Linked DNA regions of Nothobranchius furzeri. The protein of the gene in region 4 purifies or fractionates together with the protein of the main gene of each other region. This does not show direct contact. Links are inferred from orthologs where the notes say so. Each region holds a gene or a part of one and is shown on either strand. Other genes may lie near its edges.

What was found.
Region 1: the proteins of stub1 (region 4) and dnajb6b purify together in Homo sapiens (affinity purification with mass spectrometry; 4 studies listed by BioGRID and IntAct, with this or other methods). This does not show direct contact. The link is inferred for Nothobranchius furzeri from reciprocal best matches to the Homo sapiens genes STUB1 and DNAJB6.
Region 2: the proteins of stub1 (region 4) and prmt5 purify together in Homo sapiens (affinity purification with western blotting; 3 studies listed by BioGRID and IntAct, with this or other methods). This does not show direct contact. The link is inferred for Nothobranchius furzeri from reciprocal best matches to the Homo sapiens genes STUB1 and PRMT5.
Region 3: the proteins of stub1 (region 4) and yap1 purify together in Homo sapiens (affinity purification with mass spectrometry; 3 studies listed by BioGRID and IntAct, with this or other methods). This does not show direct contact. The link is inferred for Nothobranchius furzeri from reciprocal best matches to the Homo sapiens genes STUB1 and YAP1.
Region 5: the proteins of stub1 (region 4) and dnaJ homolog subfamily C member 13 purify together in Homo sapiens (affinity purification with mass spectrometry; 3 studies listed by BioGRID and IntAct, with this or other methods). This does not show direct contact. The link is inferred for Nothobranchius furzeri from reciprocal best matches to the Homo sapiens genes STUB1 and DNAJC13.
Region 6: the proteins of stub1 (region 4) and map3k5 purify together in Homo sapiens (affinity purification with western blotting; 3 studies listed by BioGRID). This does not show direct contact. The link is inferred for Nothobranchius furzeri from reciprocal best matches to the Homo sapiens genes STUB1 and MAP3K5.
Region 7: the proteins of stub1 (region 4) and hif1aa purify together in Homo sapiens (affinity purification with western blotting; 3 studies listed by BioGRID, with this or other methods). This does not show direct contact. The link is inferred for Nothobranchius furzeri from reciprocal best matches to the Homo sapiens genes STUB1 and HIF1A.

What each region holds. Positions count from the first base shown.
Region 1 is NC_091747.1:47,489,064-47,491,632, reverse strand, and holds part of dnajb6b (dnaJ homolog subfamily B member 6b), read left to right. Parts: intron 1-2,113; coding exon 2,114-2,272; intron 2,273-2,569. UniProt on the Homo sapiens protein: Has a stimulatory effect on the ATPase activity of HSP70 in a dose-dependent and time-dependent manner and hence acts as a co-chaperone of HSP70. Plays an indispensable role in the organization of KRT8/KRT18 filaments.
Region 2 is NC_091751.1:63,263,707-63,267,206, forward strand, and holds part of prmt5 (protein arginine N-methyltransferase 5), read left to right. Parts: intron 1-2,350; coding exon 2,351-2,554; intron 2,555-2,631; coding exon 2,632-2,742; intron 2,743-2,837; coding exon 2,838-2,902; intron 2,903-2,985; coding exon 2,986-3,138; 3' UTR 3,139-3,500. UniProt on the Homo sapiens protein: Arginine methyltransferase that can both catalyze the formation of omega-N monomethylarginine (MMA) and symmetrical dimethylarginine (sDMA), with a preference for the formation of MMA.
Region 3 is NC_091753.1:45,044,991-45,048,490, reverse strand, and holds part of yap1 (transcriptional coactivator YAP1), read left to right. Parts: intron 1-438; exon of another isoform or gene 439-589; coding exon of another isoform or gene 590-792; intron 793-1,393; coding exon 1,394-1,512; intron 1,513-2,018; coding exon 2,019-2,132; intron 2,133-3,500. UniProt on the Homo sapiens protein: Transcriptional regulator with dual roles as a coactivator and corepressor. Critical downstream regulatory target in the Hippo signaling pathway, crucial for organ size control and tumor suppression by restricting proliferation and promoting apoptosis.
Region 4 is NC_091756.1:32,255,875-32,259,506, forward strand, and holds the end of stub1 (E3 ubiquitin-protein ligase CHIP), read right to left. Parts: intron 3,121-3,632; coding exon 3,004-3,120; intron 1,078-3,003; coding exon 952-1,077; 3' UTR 501-951; downstream 1-500. UniProt on the Homo sapiens protein: E3 ubiquitin-protein ligase which targets misfolded chaperone substrates towards proteasomal degradation.
Region 5 is NC_091747.1:45,032,711-45,036,895, forward strand, and holds the start of dnaJ homolog subfamily C member 13, read left to right. Parts: upstream 1-1,385; 5' UTR 1,386-1,523; intron 1,524-4,185.
Region 6 is NC_091742.1:11,443,707-11,447,206, reverse strand, and holds part of map3k5 (mitogen-activated protein kinase kinase kinase 5), read left to right. Parts: coding exon 1-4; intron 5-316; coding exon 317-485; intron 486-561; coding exon 562-747; intron 748-1,267; coding exon 1,268-1,373; intron 1,374-3,500. UniProt on the Homo sapiens protein: Serine/threonine kinase which acts as an essential component of the MAP kinase signal transduction pathway. Plays an important role in the cascades of cellular responses evoked by changes in the environment.
Region 7 is NC_091758.1:31,049,934-31,053,433, forward strand, and holds part of hif1aa (hypoxia inducible factor 1 subunit alpha a), read right to left. Parts: intron 1,770-3,500; coding exon 1,579-1,769; intron 1,292-1,578; coding exon 1,140-1,291; intron 1,016-1,139; coding exon 931-1,015; intron 401-930; coding exon 291-400; intron 167-290; coding exon 1-166.

The DNA.
Region 1 (2,569 bases), on a different chromosome or scaffold from region 4:
CACCGTCCACCTTTGATTAATCAAAATGCAATACATACAGTTATAATTATTGGGTATATAAATCAGATTTTATATATATTTTGTGGAGGTTCGCCATTTTCAAAAAAGTCCAAATCTCAATAGTTTCAGGTTTGTGGTTTTCAACGAATTTCTTTAATGGCAACATTTTTGCAAGTTTAGAGGAGACGCAAGCTGGTAACTATGCCTGACAGTTTAAAGGATTTTTTTGTCAGACAATATTAGATCATGTCAGTTATGTGCAACTAACGTGTTTTCGCACTGACGTCCTGAGTGTGGTGCAAAAAAAAACCAGATGGTGACACCTGTTAATCATACAATTTGAATTCCAACAGTGAAAGAAAAATTTAACTCGTTTATTTTTATTCATGTGATGTAGCAAGTAGCAATGCAATTTTGTAAATCTTCTGTAGGACTACTTATACAATATTTCTGCTATACACAAAAATATCTTTGATGTTTTGATACATTTTAATAACAATTTAATGTAAAAGTTTTTGTTACTGTACCCTTTTAGCCACCACTAGAGGGAGTGGCCTCATTCTTCCTTTGCTAATACACAGCCATAGACACATACACTTTTTGACTGCAGAGAAATTGTTAGAATTGTCACCTGCCAAAAATAATAAGACATATTTTCTGAAGCAATGAGACTATTTGGATCGGGAAGTTAGATGTTGAGCTGCAGTCTGTAGCACTTGTTGGGTTGTAGTGAGACGGTTGCAAGTTTGATTTCCACAGCAGCCTTTCTGCATGGAGTTAGCGTTCTTATCATGCATGCGTGTGTTTTATCCACTTTCTGCCCACAGACCAATAACATGCATGTTAGCTTGATTGGAGATTCTAAATTGTCCTCAGGGTGAGTGTAATGGGATGGACTAAGCTAGCTTTCCAACTGTTGGAGACACATTTTAAGACCAAGTTCAATGAGAAACCATTTTTTACCTGTCATTTTTTAAATATGATCAGCTCTGAATTTCACATGCAGGCTGAACGTGAAAATAGTCTTGTATACCTGTTCCCTGCATCAACCGTCAATAGAAAATAAATGGGGAAGTGCCCAGGTTAAAAAAAAGCCACATGGATCTGCATCTCGCTGTAAATTAGCATTCATGGACTCATCCACCTTGGCTCGTGTCGGGGAAGGTGGTTAATTTTTGCAGCCAGGAGAGAGCAGAGTGTGTCTCAGCTAGTAGATGCTAACCGTTAGCATCAGTCACTCCTTCAGACTTGTGTTATTTGTGGAGATAAAACATAAACGTTGCAGAGCAAACAGAGTCAGTGGTAGAGTTGCATTGCTGTTAGCCAATCAGAGGCAAGGTGTCAGAATATCAGGAAATAATAATGAGTAAGACTCACAAGGTGTCTTTTTACACCAGAGACTGCTGCAAATGTGTTGAAAAAACAAGTGAACTTGGTCTTTAAGGTAGTGACCAAAACACACCCTTATTTTACTGTGGTGAAAACGCCTCAAAGATGCGTTCTCTGTTTAAAACTGGACTATCTTAAACCTTAGAGGGGTGCAGATCCTCCTAAACTAGACCGGTTTCAGCAGGACGAGCATCTGGCCTCCTTCACGTCTCCTCTCCGCTGCCTTAATTACACAACACAATGACGATGAGATCTGCCTGTAATCTCCCAGCATAATAACCCCCACCCATCCACCCCGTTCCCTGCCTGCCACTAATTCAATATAAATGTAAATTACCTCGAGAAAAGAATAAGCAAATCTCATTTTATTTACATGACTAATCACAATAAAGTCAGGCAGATGAAATATGAATGGAATATACAGCTGGGGTGTGCGTTTCCATAGAGACTTGTTTTAGATGTTATTTCTTTTGGGGTACATCAATATACCTTTTGGACTCTTGCTCAACTTGTAATAGATGTGTGTATCTATTTTCTCCTGTCTGCTCGTACGCACACTGCCAAGGGCATCACAAAGCAATATGTTTTCCCTTTTTTTCTATAATACACATATCTGAGGAGAAAATGTAAAAAAAAAAACGACTTCATGTTGAGCACCTCGGGCATTCCATCCAAACAGGATGAGTTTAAGTGTGATTTATTCCTTCTCCGCTCACGCCCACAGACCTCGCACCTCAGGATCCCTTTGAGGAGGAGTTTCGTCGCCTCAGACAGAACGCGCTTCCTGGCTTCGGCCTGCACCAGCGCTACCTGAGGAACTCTGCCCAGAACCCCTCAGAGGAAGAGGAGGAGCACGGCCCACAGAGCCAGGGACTGACGAGAGGTCCGCCAATCTGCCAGTGCAGGCCTGATTAATTACCAACACACTGAGCTCTCCTTTAAAGAGTCTTAATGAGCGCAGCTAATTGTCGGCTTTTGTGTCTGATGGCCCCACAAAGCACAAACGACGAAGAGTTGCGTGTTTGATTGGCAGATGTAAACACAGAGGACAGACATGTTCATTAGGCAGCTCTGTTCTACGTCGCCGTAACGACCGAGAGGTCAGAGTCCGCCCCCTGTTTTCCTCTACGGGGTCAGGAAGTCAGGCACAAAAGCTGAGCAATTATCTGCAACACAGTCG
Region 2 (3,500 bases), on a different chromosome or scaffold from region 4:
CTGTTAAACCATCTAAATGATCTGTATCTGTACTCTGGGTGGGCGTGGCCTAAGCCAGAAGTGGGTGTGGTTTACATCAATACATTATTTTACGTCTGATCAGAAGTTGCTATGTGTATTGTTTATTTGAAAACTATTTACAGAGCAGCCTCAGAGTTGAGATTAAATGTTTTTAATCACAATAGTAAAGGAACTATTACAGAACAAGTTTTTCAATAAAATCAGAACATTAATATTTAAGTGCATGAATTAAGAGCGAGAGAGAAGAAAAGATCTTTTCTAAAGCGCCTCTCAAGATAAAAATCACGGGGCGCTTCACAAAACAAAACATGTAAAATAGAAAAAAGAATTTAGAAAATGATTAAAATATATTTAAAATGAGCAAAAAATAGACAATTGTGATTTAAAAATGTAGAGAGAGAGAAAGAATAGGAAAGAGGGAGTGGATCCTGAGGAAGAGGAGAGAGAGAGGAAAAAAAAACCCGACTGGAGCGCAGGCAGTGACTGACGCAGCACGAGCCGTTTTCAGCTCTGTCTTGTCAAATGCACCACGTACGTTACGAAAAAAGTAACTTTAAATAACTTTAACTTTAAAAAGAAGCAAACCGAAGAAAACATAGGGAGCACTGAAGAAACGTGAACAGTGAAGCAAGCACAGAGAGATCCGCAGTGTTGGGCAAGTTACTTCAAAACTGTAATGCATTATTTATTACTTGTTACCCTCATTTTAAAGTAATTCATTACATTACAAGATTACTGATTTTAAAATGTAAGGCATTACACTACTTTTGCATTACTTTGTTACTTTCACCAAAACAACTTCAATATGAATCTGGTAACCTGACACTCAGTGAGCTCATGACATATATGTGGAAGGTGATGTGGTGTCTGAGCTAGGATTGCTGTTAAAAACAGTCAGATATAATAACAGTGCTTTAAAATGATTGTTTATTAAATAAAAGCAACAACAATCTGTACTCTCAGCACGCTGCCATCTTAGATTAACTGAGCAGGGAGTGAGGTGGTGGGGGCTCCAAGCCTATGTTTGCCTTGGTCCCCAAATGCCTTGATACGGCCCTGGATGTGGGACTGACTTCTGGGGTGATCTGATTCTGTCACATGTATAAATATTAAATGCTTATATATTATTGCTTTTCACTGGTAAAAATGTGTATTGGGGATAAATCTACCTACTTTTTTCTTTTTTTCTTGATTTTATTTGAATAATTTCCTGCCCTTTCTCTCCTGCATGCTGCATGTTTTCTCCGTCTTCCAGAAAAAACAGTTTCCTAGACTTCCTACTTTGTAACGGTCAGCCAGAGGGATCTTCACATGCGCGGTGCTCCAGCAGTAATGAGTTGAAATCACCGGGGAACAGATTATGAACTCAGCTGAGGCAAAGCACGTCAGAAAAGCACAAAATACCAGAGAATATGCGCTGATATGAACGATCGCAAGTGAATTATTTTGTTTTAGTGGAGAGATTTTGTGAATGTTACAGCGGCCGCGTGCAGGACGCAGCTGAGCCGTTACCGCGGCGTCCTCTCTGCCCGCAAAGCTGAGTCCATAAATGACGTAACATATGCAGATACTGGATCTTTCTTCGGGTTTCCCGCAATTTGAATTTTTAAGGAACACATCTTGATTCTGGGTTTAAAAATACATTGTAATTACCGCGTTACTGACAATTGTACCGAGTAAATATTACCATTCTCTTTCCCTGTAATGCCTTACATTACTACATTACAGCAAAAAGCAATGCATTACAGTAATTAATTACTTTTGTACCGCATTACTCCCAACACTGGAGATCTGTGTGTGTGTGTGTGTGTGTGTGTGTGTGTGTGTGTGTGTGTGTGTGTGTGTGTGTGTGTGTGTGTGTGTGTGTGTGTGTGTGTGTGTGTGTGTGTGTGTGTGTGTGTGTGTGTGTGTGTGTGTGTGTGTGTGTGTGTGTGTGTGTGTGTGTGTGTGTGTGTGTGTGTGTGTGTGTGTGTGTGTGTGTGTCTGCTGCTGAGTTTTGTGTGTAGGGAGGGGCGGGCGCACTATGTGACTGGCCAATCACAGAGCGTGAAGACGGTCAGTTACCCAATGAGGACTTTCCTTCAGCACAATTACAGATATTTACGAGTTTTACTCGTTTCATGCTCGTACTCGTCAAAAATGCTTTTTCCGTACCGGATACTCGTCTGAAACGAGTATCCGGCTCATCCCTAGTTCCGTCGCTTTAAGAAACACAGATTCCACAAGCAGACGTGTTTCTTTCTGCTGATGCAGAGCAAGCATTTGTACTGCTTCGTTACCTTCCTTTTCCCATCCAATATCACTTTTTCTTTCTGTTTCTGCGTTCCAGATGATGGAGTCAGTATCCCTTGCTCCTACACGTCTTTCCTAGCTCCGATATCCTCATCCAAGCTCTACAATGAAGTGCGGGGGTGCAGGGAGCGCGACAAGGACCCTGAGTGCCATTTTGAGACGCCTTACGTGGTGCGTCTCCACAACTTCCACCAGCTGGCTGAGCCTAAGGCGTGCTTCACCTTCACACACCCATCTAAAGGTAGAAACCATCAGATTCACACGAGGGAACGTGTGTGTTTGTTCGGGGGTATTTATGAGGTGTGTGTGTCCTTTCAGACATGAACAATAACCGCTACCAGTGCCTCAAGTTCTCTGTGGACTGTAACTCTGTGCTCCATGGCTTTGCTGGTTATTTTGAAACGACTCTGTACAAAGATGTCACACTCAGTAAGTCGTGTGAGGGGAGGGGAAATGATCGTGTGTGTGTGTGTTTAGATAGAAATGTTGCTTTAATTCCATGTGTGTGTGTGTTTTTATTGCAGGTATAAAACCAGACACTCATTCGCCTGGGATGTTCTCCTGGTTTCCCATCCTCTTCCCCCTCAAGGTAAATCAATCACTAGAAAAGTGGAAAAATCCAAATCCTGTTCAGAGACTCCATGTTCTGGGTATTCCGTGTCTCCCTAACAGCAGCCCATTTCCATATCGCGAGATGATGATGTCACGGTGCGGTTCTGGCGCTGCAACAATGGGAAGAAGGTTTGGTACGAGTGGGCCGTGACCGAGCCGTGCTGCTCTGCCATCCACAACCCGGCAGGTCGCTCCTACACCATCGGCCTTTGAAACGCAGCGTCCGTGCTCTCGACTCGTGTTGTTTAGTTAGACTCGGTGGCGACTGGATAAATTCTGTTAGAGCAGATGTGAACTTTCACCTGTGCACGCATTCTGTCTCTGTGTGGTCATTGTGAAGCTCTCTGATCAAGTCCAAACCAAACCCACTGGTTTCACCTGCTGGTTTTGTGTTTTTTTGTAATGTTTTGAGTTTAAATGTGGACATAAACATCCAACTGGTCTTTTGCCTTATCACACACACATTCCACATGAGCCATAACACAGCTGTATCCTGTTAGCACTGCTCTCAACACACGGTCACCCTGTTCATGTTACATGTTTAACCGTTTGTATTTTGTCTTCTGTTTCTTAGA
Region 3 (3,500 bases), on a different chromosome or scaffold from region 4:
CATAACGCACAGACTTTTGATTATCGTTGCCTCTGTTTTGAACTTTGGGTTTGTTTATCTTTTTTTGACGAATTGGACAACACAAAGTTGGCGTCTAAACAACAGCATTTGGTAGAACGTGATGTTCTACTTTTTCTTTTTTTTTCCATCACTGTTGATTCCTGTTTGGTGTCCTGTATTGTGCTGGCCCTTTATTTTGAAGGTACCCTCTGATTTTCCACCCCCCCCCCCCCCCCCCAAATAACGCAAAAAGATCCCTTCTATCTCTAATAATTGTCAGGTCTTACAGAGGAATGAGGGGCAGAGGGTGACTGTAGCAGGGCCACAGAAACTCTTGTAGCTTGTGCAAATCTATAGAACTGGTTTTCCTTTTCTGTAGTCGTTCATTCTGCTCCACGTGACCTCGCTTTCTTGAAAGGCCACCTTCAGTTGGAGCCGATCCAGCCTTTTTTTTTTCTTGCGTGGTTTGTGGTGTTTTTGTGTGTGTGAGAGAGGGAGAGGGAGGAGTTGGTGGTTCTGGGGGAGGGTTTGGTAAGGGATTTGGCAGCTCCTTTGATCAATAAAGCATAAACAAGCGGGGGGCTTCAGAATGGGTTTCATTGTGTCAGGGGGAGGAGTGCTGAGTCAGGCCCACTCGCTCTCTGGCCTGGGATCGAGAGCAGACAGGCGGGCTGGGATTACCGAACGGGCCAAGGGAAACTTACTGAATCTCTCGCTTCATCCAGCTGTTCCAAAATCTGCTCTAATGGCATTTTGGGATCAAATTAACACCAAGCTGTTAAAAGAAACACAGTGAGTTTTTGTTGATCACTAAAGGGAATATTTCATGGCATAATAAATAAACTCTTTTGTCTCTTAAGTCTCTTTACTACAATTAAAAAGTGGCTTTGCGCAGACGAGCTGCTGGAGTTTGGTGCCTTTTAGGGAGAGATGGTGTGTGTGTGTGCGTGTGTGTGTGTTCTAAATAGGATGGTTAAAAAAAAGGGAATAGCTAGGTTTTAGGTCGTAGCTCAGTCTGCGCCTTTGTCAAGCAGGTGAAAGCTTTGTAAATGTGGCGCCAGATTGTTAAAGCCCCTGACACTCCGCAGTGTCCGAGCCGCTTCCAGGAAAAGGGACCCCCTGCGTTGAGCCCTGGGACTGACCCTCCCTCAATAGAGGGGGACCTGCCTGGGAGAGGAGGGCTTCCTGTATTAGCTTTCCATCTTAATCAAGAAACAAGTGCCAACAAAGCAGTAATTATCAATGCCTTGGGAGTGCACACAATGCCCCTACCCCACCCCTGCCCTGTCCCCTCTATGCGGAGATGGTCAGAAAAAAGATGAAGTAACATTGTTGGATGTGACCATAGATTAAGGTGTTTTAAAGTATATTTTGCCATCTGCTCTTGTTGCAGCCACATTGATAAAACGACCACTTGGCAGGATCCCCGCAAGCCCTTGCTCCAGATGAACCAGACTTCTCCTCCAAGTTCTGTTCCAGTCCCGCAGCAGACTCTCATGAACCCAACCAGTGGTATGTGCAAAAATCAGCTAGCTAGAATCGTGAAGTTTTTACTTAAATTTTGCTTTAATGGAGGAAAAACTCAGTCTAGTTCTTACTTGTCACTAATGTGCACAACTTGGAATTTGGAATTTGCCCCAGGTGAGGTAAGACCGAGGCAGGACGCGTCCTTCTGTTAGTTTGGAAGCTCTGTGACTCAGATCAGTTTAACAGATGACGTCATTCTCTTTGTCTCTAGTTGATACCGCTCAACCTGTTAGCTTGTTGGTAAATAATAAAAAAAAAAATCTCAGATGCTGACGAGCTTGTTTGTCAGGGACAGATAACGGTGATTCACTCAAAGACGATTAAATAAACCTGATTTAATCTCTGTTTGTGCACACATTTGATAACGCTGCTTCGTATTCTTCTCAATGTTCGTTGGTGTACTTTGTGAAACAATATCAGTAAAGAGAAATTCCTGCATTCAGCCAACTTCCAGTACTTGTTCAATGTTATTTTTCCCTGTTATCCCTCAGGACCCCTCCCTGAAGGCTGGGAACAAGCCATAACACCAGAGGGAGAAATTTACTACATCAACCACAAGAACAAAACCACATCCTGGCTTGACCCACGACTCGAGCCACGCTATGGTAAGCTGGCTGCAGACGGGAATCTTTTGGTTTCATCTCTTTTTATTTTTTATTTCTCAACTAAAGTAAAATACATCTGCTCCGTCTTCAGAAGAGGAACTTCTTACACAAAATCTGATGATTCTGAAGCTTTTATTAGACTCTTGCATACTACACCATCTGGTCCATTACCTTTTTTTATTAAGACAAGTGCAAATTTTCAATTGCTTAACCATGTAACCGTTACGTCTGTGACAGTGACTGAATGGCGAATTTTCCGTCATCTTTTGAGGAGAGCATCGGTGTGTTTTTCAGGACAAAAGATTAGACTTTTTTTTTCTTGGCAGCAAAGAATCACAACATTATAAATGACGCCGCACCTCCTTTTTACCATAATACCAGTTGGTAACTGTCAGTGTCTCCATCTATTGTTGTTATAGAGATGGATGGATGTCTAATGTGATCTTGCAATGCAGCTGCCACTGCCGCGGCATGCTGTTCATGCACCCGGTGGAACTCAGTCGCCTGTTCTTTATAGTCGTTCCCAGTGGTGATGCTAGGGGGCGCTATAGCTACCCCTGGATTAGTCATTGCACCCCCAAGTAAATATTAGATTATTTTTTTTACAATTTAATTTTAATTTAACGTGTGGATGTGATCATATTTAACATACAAAACAAAAATAATCAGTAAATTATCATATAGATAGTAAAAACTTCAACCAAAACAGGAAATTGATGTTAACCTTTGACCTCATTTTCCACCTGCGAACGAGTGAAAGGTAGAGCTAGTGGTAAAATGGATCGGTTTTTGTTGCCCACATTTCCACGGGTTCAGTCAGAAACGAATGAATGTTTGGAAGTGATCTCAGACCCACAAAAACCTACGGATCTGGATGGAGTCAACCCTCAACCGCCGCAGCAGTCGAGGGTTTTGCCGCTGGAAATGCTAACACTAACGTTAGCTAACCTTGCAACACTATAGATGGTTTTCTGTGTGGCTGTTTGTGTTTATGATTTCATGGAAAAGTCAGCGATTGTTCATATGTTTATGATGTTTATTAATGATTGTTTCAGGTGTTGTTGAGGTTTTGTGCACGCATGTGTATCTGCTAGTGTTGAAGGTGTTTTAGAGAACAATAGGTACGCACGACCACTTCCTTCATAGCACCCTCAATAAAAAGACTAGCTCCTTCATAGCATCTGCAGAAAAAAATTTCTGGAGGCACCACTGGTCGTTCCCCCTAACCTAGGCTTTCCACCGGTTGCGTAATGAAATGGCTGCATTGTCCACATGACCCCAGCCGTCCAATCATATCCCACTGGGAGCGTTTCAGATTCAAATCTGCAATGAAAGTGTTCCAACTGGACGAGGCCAGCCTGGTGAGCC
Region 4 (3,632 bases):
AACCATTTGTCAACGCGGGTTTTAGCAACAGCTGAACATTCTGAACTCATATCCAGCAATGTGGGAACGTTGTTTATATATATATGCAGCCATTTATTTTCTGTTTCCAGTTCAAGGCGTTTCAGAAAAACATGGCAAATCGCTGAGGACTGACTCTAAAACTAAAAAAAATACAGAACTCATTCATTCGACTTATTGGAATTGTCTGTTTGAAGGTGTGATTGATATGCAAAGGAGAGGAAAACCTTTTTATTCTACTCAAATCCTTAAAGTGACAAAGACGGTTGGGTCTGAGCGCCACCAGCATCTCGATGCATCAAGTAAAACTAAAAACGTCTATTGGCATTTCTGACCACTTCAACAAATATACTAGAATAGATGGGCAGATGCTCTTTTTCTTATGAAATATGACAAAAATACTGGATTAGATATCAAATAAAATGTCTGTCAGCAAAATTTGTTGGTTTATTTTATATTTAAGTATATATGTGTGTATTTAGAGACCTACTGTAGGTATATGTGAAACACTAGAGTGTGATGCTAATGTTTCCCAGTAACTGTGGCACTCAGAGATAAAGCAGGCAGAGTGCGGCAGAGACCTGAGTACAAGCCCCATTATGAAGACAGGAGGAGTCAGGCTGGACGACTTAAAAAAATTAAATTAAATTTAAAAAAAAAACACGATAGAGAAGCTGAACGAGAGAAAGAGTGATCAGGTCTTAAAGGGAGCAACAGGCCATGAACACCAAGCCTCCGAGAGCTGCAACAAAAGGTTTTACAGCCAAGAACAAAACCGTTGGGAGGATGCAAACTGGGATGCTTTATACTCCCCGTTTGGTAGTTTCCTGTGTGGCTTGAGTAAAGTTCATATCCAGGCAAAGGGTGATCTGTTCTCTATATTCTTATCCAGGTCTGGTGTTGGCTCCTGGAAGAGAAAAGGAGCGAGCCTCCTCAGTAGTCCTCCACCCAGCCGTTCTCCTGGATAAAGGCATCAATCACTTCCTTCATGGCCAGGTTGGGGATCAGCTGATCCTGGGTCAGGGGACTTCGGGTGACTGGGTCAAAGTGACCAACTCGCTGCAAAAATGCAAACAAGAAGGATTTAATGTATTTGTGCACAACTACATTATTGATGCTTTAGAGAAAGTAACTGAACAGCTTTTCTTCTAACTGTGCCAATAACCAACACTTGTAATACCGTTAACCCACGTAAACCAATGATAACTACAGGGAGCCTAAGCCACGCTCATCTACTGGGTCCACTACTGTCAAAAGCATGATGAGCCAATAAAAGCTGTTTTCTGATCCCGTTTAATATGTGCTATGGCTTTAACAAATGCTGTCTGTGAATTTTAAAGACACATTCTGATGGCAAGAAAGTGCTTATTTTTAAAAAATGGCTAAAGTTATTTTAGATTTTGTGCGAAAAAATGTATAAGACTACAAATGTTTGTCTCACAAAATTGATGTCGTCAAACCAGACATGATGAAGAAAACGACTGAGTTTAGCGAGCTTTGGATCTTTCTTCCAGGACAAAAAAAAGCATTAAACGTGTAGAAAAGCACCATAAATCTGGCCATGTGGTAAGTAGCCGCTACGCTGGGGGAGAGGAGATACTGTGGTGATGTCGTATATGCGACGTCTGATTTGTGGCCACTTTAATTATCAATTTTTACAAGGTAATAAATCTCAAAATACGTGACAGACATAATCTAAACTCGTTACTATTTAGAATTTAAGCTAAAGTACAACATATGTGAGACTCGGGGTTAAAGGCAAAGTAGATTAGAAAATAGCTTTTGCAGCGCCGTTGACGGGGAGGAGACATATGGGCCATTCCCATCTGTACCCGGTCGGCACGGGCCGGGTAGCCCCAGTCGGCCCCAGCCTGGCCCGGTTGATTCCACACATCCTTGTCTTAAGCCCATGTGGGCTGATTCTACCCACCAATCAGAGGCTTGCTCTAATGGAAGGTGTGAATGGGCTGATTCTACCCACCAATCAGAGGCTTGCTCTAATGGAAGGTGTGAATGGGCTGATTCTACCCACCAATCAGAGGCTTGCTCTAATGGAAGGTGTGAATTTGCTGTCAGCAGTGGGTGTGTTGGCCCTGGTCGGCCTGAAGCAGACCTCCTCGGGAAGAGGGCCGAGAATGAGCCTTGGTTGGCCCGGGAAAATTCCAGGCCACCCAGATATGTAAACAACCTACGCTACCCGGCCCGGGCCGACCCGGTACAGGTGGGAATGGGGCTATAGGCTCCCTGTTACAACCAGTACTGATTTGTAGAGATGCAAGAAAATTTCTATACACTGAAATATTGCTGATATTTAAAAGAAGGTGTATCAAATTTTTATAGAGCATTTTAACATAATCTTCCACTGTGCTTCCCTTTGTGTGGTGCAATTCTACCTCCAACTGCTAGGTGGCAGCAGATTTTACCGCCTTCAGTCTGACTTCACGAGATCTCGTGATAACACTGGAAGCCTCTGGTCTTCAGGCTGTTTTGTATCATAACATATCATATGGTCGCTGCTGTACTGTGATACATAACCCACCGCTACTGATCTGATCATGTCTAGACTTGTGGACAGAAGCCTGTCCTACCACAGGATCAGCACTTCACGTCGCGGTGGCGGCCCAGTGTGACCCTGGCTTTAGCGGCTTGAGGAAGAAAACTTCAGATGCTGTTGGAAATTACAATTAACCTGTCACCTGAGTCTGTCACCATGGTGACCAATGCTGTAAACCTGCTCGCAGTTCAGTCCACACATTTTAACAAGCTGTTCTATTCATTCATTCATTCATTATTTATTTAAAGGAGGACAATGCATACTTATGAACAGTAAATATGCCAGATTTTAAGACTAATTTCCACTTGCAGTCCTCTGGCAGGTTGATGTTGCTAAAACAAATAAAACAGTCAACAACATACACATAGATAAAAAAAAAAACAATCAAATAAAACAAGTCACCAACTACCAGCAGACCTGAAACTGTTTACCTGTAGATGCTCTTCTATGTCCTTGCGGTCATAAGTGATCCCGCTGGGTGTGATGCAGGGCTCCCTCATCAACTCAAAACTGATTTTCCCACAAAGATAATCTGGAATCTCTCGCTTCTGGAATCAGGAAAAGAGGAAACTCTAAACAATCAGGGTTTCTATACAATTAGATGATTTATTCTGGTCTAACAGGGTCCAGGTCATCAACAAGCTGCTGCTTAGCAACCACACTGATGTCACTTCCTCCTAAAAAGCCTCAACGATCATCCTAATACGATATTAAGCAAACACATAACAGATTGATACATCTTATTCTAATTTCAAGGCCAGTTCCATCCTCCCTTATACGACTACAACCTCAATATAAACAACCAGCTCTGGCAAGAAACTTGGCAAACAGCAAGTAACAGTCGTCATAGAAACAGCTTGCGCTAAAATTAAAACAACCATCTTATTTCATGCGATCTCATCTGTCAGTGAAGTTACTGAGGTTGTATAAAAATAAAATAACCGCAAAAGATAGACTTAAATAAAACAGATCTCAAGTCAGATCTGAAGAATCAAGTATATTTGCTGCTCTTATGCCAACTACAAAAATGGGGGAGGGGGGGGGGGGAGACACACACTGT
Region 5 (4,185 bases), on a different chromosome or scaffold from region 4:
ATGAGCTAAAACGCAAGAAGCGTGGGTGCAGAGCGGGAGCAAAACGGAGACAGAGAAAGAGGAAATTCAAACCATCTCTTCCATCGATCATAACGGGCAATGTGAGATCACTGGCCAACAAGATGGAGGAACTCCAAGCCCTTTCAAGGACTCAGCCAGAGTTTCGGCAGTTTCGGAACCACTGGAGGAGATAATGCAAAGAAGGATTTTCCAGAGAATCAAGAAAATTATGGACAACCCTGAGCATTCTCTTCACAAGACTGTCCGACAACGGAAGAGTGTCTTCAGTCAGAGGCTTCTTCAGTTTGGCTGCAACACTGACCGCTACTGGAGATCCTTCCTGCCAACAGCCATTGTAATGTACAATAACTCTTTGATGACTTGATTATTATTATTATTCTGAGCTACTACAACAATCAATTTCCCTCTGGGATTAATAAAGTATTTTTGAATTGAATTTGAATTGAATTAATGATGCTCTGTTGTGTAAAGTACTTTGGAGTCCTCTGACTCACAAATGCTCTATAACAGTGTAGGTCATTTATCATTTATATTATGCAAACTTCTGCTTTTGCATTCTTTGTGCTGCCATGTGGGTCTCTACATCCTCTATAAACACTTCAAAACATGAAAATAATCTGTTTTCTGTTAGTGTTTGGTTTAAGGAAAAAGGAGCCTGAAACAAATCATTTTAAAAAGTCCCCATTTGTGACTTAACAAACTGGGACAGTAGACTAGAACTACCTCTTATGCAAGAGGGAGCTGCTGCTGAAGAAGCAGCGGCTCTACTCCAAGCCCATCCCAGATATAGGAGCTTCTCAGCTTATAACATCCTGAGTAGGGATTTGAGTGGGCGTGGCCAGCTTTATCTGGTTTTCTGAAAGTGACAGAGAAATTTTGGAAGGTACTGGAACTGTCAAAAATAAAACTACTGAAATGACTTTATGTTAGAGGGATTTTGTGCAAAGAACCAAATTAACATATTTTGGATCGTAAGTTAGGATAAAAGGTCCCACCCAATGCGGTCTCTTTCAGTCATTTTTAAACAATATAAGCCTCATAAATATGGGTTTATTTACAAATATTAACTAAATATTAGTGCTTGAAACTTAAGAGCAGAAAGGGTTAAAGAGCTGAGGCCAAAAGAACCGTCTTTTATCTGAACTGAGCCAAATGAACCAGGTCCCAAAGATAAGACGTAAATCCCCAACATTACGACTGAGCTGTTCTTGGATCAGATTTGACAGTAACCGCCCATTCAAACACAGGAAGTAACAAAACGAATACTGATCTCGGGTCAGCTCTCAGGGTAATCCCACCTCCATACAAACCAATCAGCTGACAGCCGCATGACAGGCAGGCCTTGCGGTTGCTCAGTTGAGCGCTTTTGGTATCGGGAATATGGCAGCGTCCTGAGTCCCGTAGAGGGGGGGAGACGGAGGAACCGAAGCGCTGGCCGAGCCTAGAGCACGGTGGGGGGGCTGAGGGTCGACCAGGATTACCACCCATTAGCGATTTCACAGGTAAATAGCACGTGCCACTTTTTGTCTTCTTCGTGTTTGCTTGATTGAACTCTTATGCTAATACCTAATTGATGTGCTAGTTAGCCGCTAATTTGTGGCTAACCCAGTATTGGCCTGCCACAGCCTCTTAAAATAGCATTTAGCAAACAAACGCTGATAACAAAGGCGTTTGGAGTGTCACTGTAGTTGTAGTGAGGTCGCGCTTAAGTGTCGACATCACAAGAGAGCGCTTGTGTTGGTTTTTAGCTAGCCTGTTCACCGTTAAGGCCTGCTGCAATGAAACAGAATTGGGCTAGCCTCCTGTTTGCCAGGTAACGTTCATGCTGGATTTACTTGACAGCGCGCGTCCACACATGGGTTACGTTTTTATTCTCACCACGATTTGAATTTGTAGCTTGTTGTGTGAACTGCTTGTTGTCGGCTGTAGTGTTCACGAAATCTAGACTGATGAAAGTAGGGTTCCTGTGTGGGTGAATGGTTGCTGCATGTAATCGACAATGAGTAAAATAACTTAGTGGCTGCTTTTCCACATATAGGAATTAATGTTATGTTTTGTCATTTTAATTTTGTACGATTCCGGCAGCTTTAATTCACTCCCACAGGTGCTTGTTTTGTGTGTTTGTTGTACCTTTACACCAGCCCAGGTATCATGAGTGTAAATGTGTTCACTGGACATATAAATACATTTTAGGGCCTTATACTGATGCAAAAGCACATGATAGTCTGATCCTTGCCCCCACACTAAAGCTGAAGGAGTTTCCAGTTATCTTTAATTGTTTTTTAACAATGTTTAGATGCTTTCTCATTAGTTTACATTTGTATGATTATACAATTTTAGTAACTAGTCTGGGATTCTAATCACATTTATCCACATTTAATACTTTAAAATGTTCTCTCTTCTGTAGCATGGTTTGTCAATTTTTTATGATTTTGCAAGAATACTTTGAATTCAGGGGGAAATATATAGAAAGGGTAGTCACGTGGTAATCCTGGTATCTAACTTGGATTTTTTTTTCAAAGTCATCAAGGCTATTTGGTTGCAGTAATAACACTTTTTCAGCTGTTGCTTCAAAAGCATTGAGTCACAGTCCCTACCTTACTGAATTGCATTGCATGTTGTTGTTGAAAGCTTTATTTTTAATAAAGACTCCCTTTTTTTTAAACATTTTAAAACATGTATAATTTTTAAAGGCTCTGTTGCAAATGTGTTTTTTTAAGTACCCAATACACCTTGGTATGTTTAAAAAGGTGAGTAAAAGACGATTGTCATGCTGCAATTTATTGCTTCGTTTGCACACTGGTATGGAGAGGAAGGAAAACCGCTGTTGGATTTTTCCAGGATCCTGGCTCTAAATGCTGACACACAGGTTCCCCATGTCACTATGCAGCTGCCAGCAAAATACTAGATGTCAAATAGAAGTGACAGTTATTTCCCACCATTCCTTCAATTTAAGCGTATTACATTAAAGAAATGGTTCAGAATGTTTATACTGGGTTTCTGTTCAAAGGTTATGAATAAGTAATGTTACATCTTGTCAACAGCTCTTTGAAGAGCCTCAGTTTGGAGGAACAAAGAGTAAAGAGCAGTCACTTTGGACCTGGAAATTAATTAAAATATATTGTGTATTAAAACATTTTAACCTCAGTGCTATATTGCTGTCTTTTTTTCTACAATCATTCCAGCATAAAAATTATTTTCTAACCAGAATTGAAAATGATAACTAGCTTGATACTGTATAAATAAGAAAGTAGAGTAAAGTTTTATAAACTAGTACAAATCGTGCAAGATCAAACAGGACTTCACAGTAAACAAACATGGCAGAGAAGGAGCGTGCTGCATGCTTCCGTCACCTTGCTTTCTGATTGGCTACACGTCACATTCAACAGGCAGCACGTTTGATTGTCCCCCGTAGGGCTGGATAATATAGAAAAATAGTATATCGACAAATTTATTTGAAATTTTGATCAATTTCGACAATTATTAAAAAATATTGTAAAAATTATATAAAATATATTTTACGTGCAGCCCTTGCCATTTTTTATTTTTGGTATTTTCATTTTTTTCTCCACCTCTTCTCGCTGCAACATCTTGCTGCCTCATGCTCTGTTTTGGTTTGAGAGGGGAGGGCCTGGTGACATAGCGTGCCCAAGTCTGTGGTTTTGATTGGCTAGGAGTGAGTCTAGTATGCTGCTACCTGATAGGTTATTTTGAAAAAAGGAAACTTTTTTTATTGAAGCTTTATCTACCCTTTTTTTTCTATCGCACCACATGTCTATCGATAAATATATTGAACTATTGAATTATCGTCCTGAGCTAGTCCCCCAAAATCTGACCAAGACAATCCAACACTTTTGATAGCCCGAATCATCTTTAGTCATTATGGCAGTTGTAGGGATGTCCCGTTTCGATATCGATATTGGAAGTAATTTGATATTGGCCCAAAAACACTGCATTGGATTATATTGGACTGCATCAAAAATCTCCGATACAAGCATTTTTTTAAGGTTCACAATTTTGCAACCAAAGATTTTTTTTTCATGCTTACTGTTGCTGGCACTTGTTCTCCTATTGAGTAATATCACTTGATGAAGCCTTTCATAAATTCCACACTACGAAATTTGTGCTGATACTGTATCGGATTGATATTGGGATCGGTCAGTA
Region 6 (3,500 bases), on a different chromosome or scaffold from region 4:
TCAGGTAGAACACTTGAAATGGACAGAGTCGTGGCTGCTGCTTGCTGCAGACGAGTTTCACGCATAGCCTCACGACTGTGAAACACTAAACCAGTTGTCAGTATAAAGGCCAAAGCAGGTTTATTTCAGATTAAGGTCTGAGAAGTCTTTAACAGTGGATTTTCTAATGTAAAAATGATACAAAACAGCAGAAAATTTTGTTTTTGAACAGATTTACGAATTACGAGCCATCTAACTAAATGTCCATAGGTGTCCTTAAGACTTTTGCATATAATAAAAGAACGCACTAAACCAAACCGCCGACTATTTATCTCAGCATTCCAGTGGAGAACTTTGAGGATCACAGCGCTCCTCCGTCTCCCGACGAGAAAGACACAGGCTTCTTTATGCTCCGCAAGGACAGCGAGAGGCGAGCCACGCTGCACCAAATCCTGACCGAGGACCAAGACAAGGTTGTGGCCAACCTGATGGAGGCCCTCACACAGGTTGGGAATGGAAGAAACTAACAGGAGGGCCAGGGAGACGCAGTGTTAAAATCTTCTGTGGTTCTCTGACCTTCAGGGCTCTGAGGAAATTAAAGTAAAACCGCAGCACATCTCCATCCTCGTAGTGAGTCTGGCTGACTTCATCCGCATGGCCGACAGGAAGATCATTGCCAACACCTTGTCTCAACTCAAACTGGACCTGGACTTTGACAGCACCGCCATCAGCCAGCTGCAGGTCATACTGTTCAGCTTCCAGGATGCTGTAAGTTCATCACTACAACAGGGAGGTTCGATAAATCCTCCTCTAATTTTCCCTTCTGGGAATAATCAGTCCATTGAAATCCTTGAAATGACTTTAAATAGCACCAGATTAAAACCCAAACATCACTCCTCCTCCATGCCTGAGTCATGTGACTTCCTGTCTGTTACATCCCTGTAGAGCTCTGGGTGTTTTGTTGTAAATGTTTTACGTCAGGCAGCAGAAGCCTGTCTGTTTCCTTTTCCTCCTGCGCCGAGATAATAAAGTAAAAATGATTCATAAGCTTTAAGAAAAGAGGTCTTCAGACAGGAGGAACTGCACATTCTGCAAACAGGCTCATCAGAAATGCTAAACGAATAACATAAGAGAAAATGGTTGTTAGTGTATTGCATAATCTGAGGTGGGAAAATGGAGTTCTGACGCCCCCTGCTGGTCATCGATGCACCCAGAGGATTTTTTATGTGTAGTGCACGACTACTTAGACTTGTAAATATGAAAAGTTTGTTTTCCTTTATGTTTATAGGTGAATAAAGTGCTACGAAACCACAACATCAAGCCTCATTGGATGTTTGCTCTGGACAACATCATCCGTAAAGCAGTGCAGACCGCCATCACCATCCTGGTGCCAGGTAGTATCATCCATGTTTAGAGCAGAGCACCTCTAAATGAATTATCCCTCCCTCCAGCCCTGGGCCAAACTGGCAGGATAAATCCAGGGATATGAAGAGGGAAGAATATAGAGCTAAAATGCATTATAGATGCATACTTTTTGCATGCTGGCTGTGGTTTTTAGAAGTATTCCTTGGCCGACGCCACGACTCTCACCTGAGTGTTAAATTGTTCATTAAAGTGTTTCTCTTGGTCACGTTATCTTTGATTTAAAAAGTTGTATTTTGCACATTTGGAAGTATTTGCAAGTTTTTATCCTTGCTTTGAGTAAAGTTATAATTAATTACAGATTAGCCGTGGTAGATGGCTTCCTGAATTGCCTCTGTTTGGAGAAACAGATTAGCATCCGTTAGTAGAGATAGTCTTCTTAGTGTAATTATTTATCATCCTAAAGTAAGAAAATCTCTATATTTTTTAAAATAGTGATATAATTTCTAACAAAAACAAGATGACCAAGTAACATTTATAACAATATACAACCGATGAAATGCTAGAGTTAGCAGGCATCGCTACCACTAGCTTGCATGGTCATCCATTGTTGCCCATCCAGTTGATGTTTGCAGACAAAACTTAGAGAAAGTTGTTGTCAACATTAAATGTGTGGTTTACTCGTTTATTCAATACATTTGCAGTTTTCTCTAATGTAAATCAATGCCTTATGAGTCATGAGATGCAGATGTTTGCTGGTGAGGAGGTGGACTGAAAACAGCAGAATTGCTCATTATTATTAATGATATGCACACACCTTGCTTTTAATTGGCTAACAGAACGTGTTCAGCCATGTTGCACAGGCACTATCACCAACACACTCTGCTCTCTCTCTTTGCTGCAAAAAAAATTTTTTAAGCCTTCCAGTGGGCAGACGTGAGTCAAGATGGGAGAGGCCATGAATGCAAATTCACAGTGTGACATCACAGTGTGAGGATTTTCAAATCCTAGCATTTCACCATCTATTTTCTATCAGAAGCTAACAGAGGAGATTAGTGTGGGAGATTGTTTTCATGTTCAGCCTGCATGAAAAACTCAGTGACCGATTATAATTAGAAATAGTTTAAAAAAAAATTCAGTCAACCACACCTTTAATCAAAACCTTTGGGTTAATATTATGTCCTAACCTTTACACTCGGCCTCACAGTTATTGATTTTCTGGGGACATCCGTTCATGTTTCTGCAAGGTTTTCCACCGTGATTGTCCATGTTGTCGTTCCTGAGTATGGTGTCGAGTCGGGCCAAATCCCCACTCTTAATCAGCAAATGGGTACAGCAGCTAAAATACCTAAGAAACGTACCTTTCCCTGCTCGCTGTCATGAGTGAATATTGTGAGATTCGTGCCTTGTTTGCCTTTCCAACTTTAATAAAGCCACGCTGTATGGCCCACATGAACAGAATCCACTGCATAGTGGATACATTTACATCATGGTATCATCATGATAGGTTTTTTCTAAGCAAGACATAATTACTAGTGGTATTGTGAATGACCTGATACACCCATCCCTAGGTTGAATTTAAATTGTTGTACATGAATTATAAATATATATTAAAAATAGTGCCTTTGTTACCTTTTTGCCAGCTTTTGATACAGCTCTAACAACTTGATAGATAGATAGATGGATAGATGGATAGATAGACTCCATGTCCAGATTAAATTACAAAAACCATAAACAAGCTACATAAAAACACACTTTAAAAAAATGTCGTTTCTTATGGTTCCAACAAAGATGATAAAAAGCTACTTGTGCCTTAGACAGCTTGCCAGTGTTTCCAAAGCTCAGACTGATGGTGAGCGGCACTAAGGTTAACGTTTAACAACTGAATCAATATATGTTTGATGCATTTAATCTGCTGATGAAATTCTGTAGACAATGAATCACATCTTGAAGGGGTTTAACTTGTAAACAATTTACAGGAAGAAAAATATTGAGACAAATATCATAAATCAGAATTTTGCTCAAAGATACTGGATTGTAAGTTCTGGTCCATATGGCTCAGCACTACTTTTAAGTAAAACTTTAGTTTCTCACACTTCCTACTGGTTGGAAACAGTATTGCAATTGTTGCAACCAGCAGCCTGCTATAGCTAGCGCTA
Region 7 (3,500 bases), on a different chromosome or scaffold from region 4:
TCATGTCCATGGTGTGGCGGCTGAGGAACGTCTTGGTGTCCAGAGGGACCTCGATGTTGGAAGGGTGGGGGATGGGGTCACAGATCAGAACCAGGTAGGGGAGCAGTGGCTCCATCTGCTCTGCTCGATGGTCATGAACACACATGTGACCCGAGCAGTGAAGGACCTACAGAAACACGTTTTCAAACCAAGAGGGAAACTTTAATCTTTCTGTAATTATTATTTTTTACTTTAAGTAACTTTTTTAATTTAGGAGCCCGAGATGCTCCACAGCTTCAACACTTCTTTACCTTCCATGTAGCCGACTTGACATTAACCGTGCGACCTCTGCTTGTGAGGGTGCATTTCATCCTCAGAAAGAAATTCCGTTCATTATTTGGTTCCTTGCTTTTTTTGGAGCCTGGAATCACAAAATTAAACAGATATGAATCCAGAGTGAGGCAGAGTAAGCCAGCAGTAGATTGCTCTTTTTTATTGGTCCCAACTCAACAATCTACAAACTGCCAACTGATAAAATTTGCATCAAAAGGAGACATTTGCTCTGATGCTGTGGCCTTGTGGTGAGCTAGAGGATAAAATGGAAATAGCTACCAGCAGTTAGAGCCGAGGCGGTATCAGTGAGCAAAGAAATAACAAAAAACACAGGTCCTAAATGTAAGAGTGAACCGAAGCAGAGAGAAGATTCAGCAAAACTTATCTCACTAACGAGAAGCAAAGCAAAGATCTGTTATTGATGATTAAAAGGTCGGAAGATTACTCAGCCACTGCTCAAAACCGGAGTGGATTTTTGTGTCGTTACTAAGCAGAGCTGACCACAGAGTGAGTTGGACTTTCTACCATCTGGAGCACCAACACACCCGACAGAGAGCTCTGTGTGTGCGCGTCTCGGTTTCTCTACACATTTGTACTCTTCAGTGCAACACTGCTCACCTGTTCTACAGAGGAGCATCTCTCTCAGCTCCTCCTGGTCGCAGGGATGTGTGAAGTCAAACACACTGTGGCCAGTCAGGTCAAACTGCAAAGGCAAACAAACAGAAATATACTTTTAAAACACAAATATATAAATAGAGCTACCAAGAAGTATTCATTTAAAGCTTAAAAATGTGCACTTATTTTTTAATTCCCTGCTTCAGACCCACCTGCGCCAGCCCAAGACACTTGCTGACATTCTCCGAGAGATAAATCATATCGCCGTCTTCAGACAGCACCATGAGGAAGCCCTCCAACGCCTTCAGGTAGGACCCGTTCAGCTGAACATCAAGCTCAGTTTCCCCCTCTTCCATTGGCTTATCTGGAGCATTGAGAGAGGGAGCAAGGTGGGTGATAAGCTAAAGGACAAATAACCGGTTCAAACAGCTGCAGACACAGAAAAACCACTCCTCTAGCCCCAGGTGTTTCTGCAGAGAGATTATGGCAGAATACGCAGTACCTCCTTTGTGTTTTCCACTATAGGCTACATGTAAATGAAGTGAATTACTCTGAAGTCAACAAGATAACAAATATGACAAGCATACTGCAGGTACATGGTTAACAGAGCAGTGGAATGGTTTATAATCATCTGTCGCTACAGATGCTGACCACTGCAGAGAAGGTTCCTCATGCGCAGGTAGCTGATGGTCAGCCTCATGATGGAGGCCTTGTCCAGGCTTGAGCTGGTGCTGTGGGGGAGAGGCAGCTGCTTGGCCAGCTCATAGAACACCTCCGACTCCTTCCCACGGCGGCATCTTGCTGCATCCCTTGATTTCTCCTTCCTGCGCTCCGAGCTCACCCTGCAGGAGACAGGAGGTGGATCAGCCTCATGCTGGGTTTGTTAAACGTAAAAATCCCTTTTCCCAAAACTGAAACATGTCTGCAGAGGCCAGCGCAGCTGGAGCATTCAACAGGCTGTCTCAGCCCAGCCAGTGCAATGCAAGCGTCCTATTGGCTGCTGAACAAACGAAATAGGACTCGCCCACTCAAATGACTACACAGGAAAGAGTCAGAGCTCAGCCATCCCCCCACCCCCATCCCACACACTGATTCAGACATTTTACAGTGCCATTTCGGCTAATGTGACCACCGCTGAATCAAAGCAGGGCTATTGATTCTTCAAGTGACTGAAATCACTACACTATAAAAACTTAATGAGACAAAATTGTTAGATTCAAGGTAAGAACAAGAAGGGGTGCATCAAATGGCCGCTTTCATTCAAAAAATGGTTGTGGGTTTAATATTATTTTGAATGATGTTTGCTGTTGTCTTGATTCAGAATCAAAAACAAAAGAAAAACAGACGATATTTGGAGAAGGAAGGCCTTTTGACACAACACTGGTCTCGCTCGGCGGCCATGTTTAAAATGTTCACTTGTTCACTCTTTTTATTGCTCATTGTCAATGGCGTGTCCAGTGAGTGGTCTGGAGCAGCATTTGCCACTCTTGGAATCTGACTGGCCACCCCAATGAGTTCCACTTAAATTGACATTAAGTTGTCCACAAAAAAATAAGGGTTAACCCCTAAAACAGTAGTCGACAGTATGGACTTTTAACATTAGTTTCTAGTCACAGGCCTACAGAACATTTGTGTATTATTAATTATTGTTTTCATATTGACAAAAATAGTATTCATAGTCCTGGTCCAAACTCACTCCAGTAGATGGCGGTAATGCACCAAGAAGTGGCTTGCTAACCACCTCAAAACAAGAAGTTGAAGAATAATGCAAAAATGTATTATTTTGTGAGGGGTGACAACCCCGCAGATCAAAACAAAAAGTATAACTATAGGTGCCACCCATGCATAAATTAGTGCCCCACTGGAGCCACCCATTTTAAAAGGCCTGGACACGCCACTGCAAATTGTGCCTCCATTATGTGCTTATAAAAAAATTTTTTTAAAGTCTGTGCTGTACTTCCTGTTCCACCTTATGTTGCTCAACATTGCGGTAAATAAACATAAACAAAATCGATTTAGAAAAACCGCGATGCCTCAAAAAACAGATTTCATCTCCCATTCATATGCCATAAATTTATATCACCAATCTTTGTTGCAAACTGCACCTCAGTAAGTTGAAATACATTTAGATGACATGTGAGCAGCCAGACGACCAAATGAACAGCTTAAAAACCCACAGCTATGAAATGCACACCTGATTGAAATTGATCTGGCACGCACTTACAGCACTGAATAAGGCCCTTTTGTTTTTGCCAGAAAATAGACCAGATAATGTAATTTGCAGGAGGCTAATTTTAGTTAACAGGCAGGCTGTGTTTCACACGAAAGCTTTCCATTACACACACGTGATGCACAAACCGATCCACGATAAAGCTAATTGGTCCTCTGCGGCTGGAAGATTTTCAATGCTGAGCCGAATCACCGTCCCTCGGGAAATAGGCTAGGTGCTGATTTAATCTAGCGAAAAGCATGTGGGTCAAAATTTCTATTCGGTGACATGAACACACAAACAGAAAAACACTCAGTGTTGCTGCTATTAAGTTCCATTTACAATTGGGAAGCTACAAAGTTAT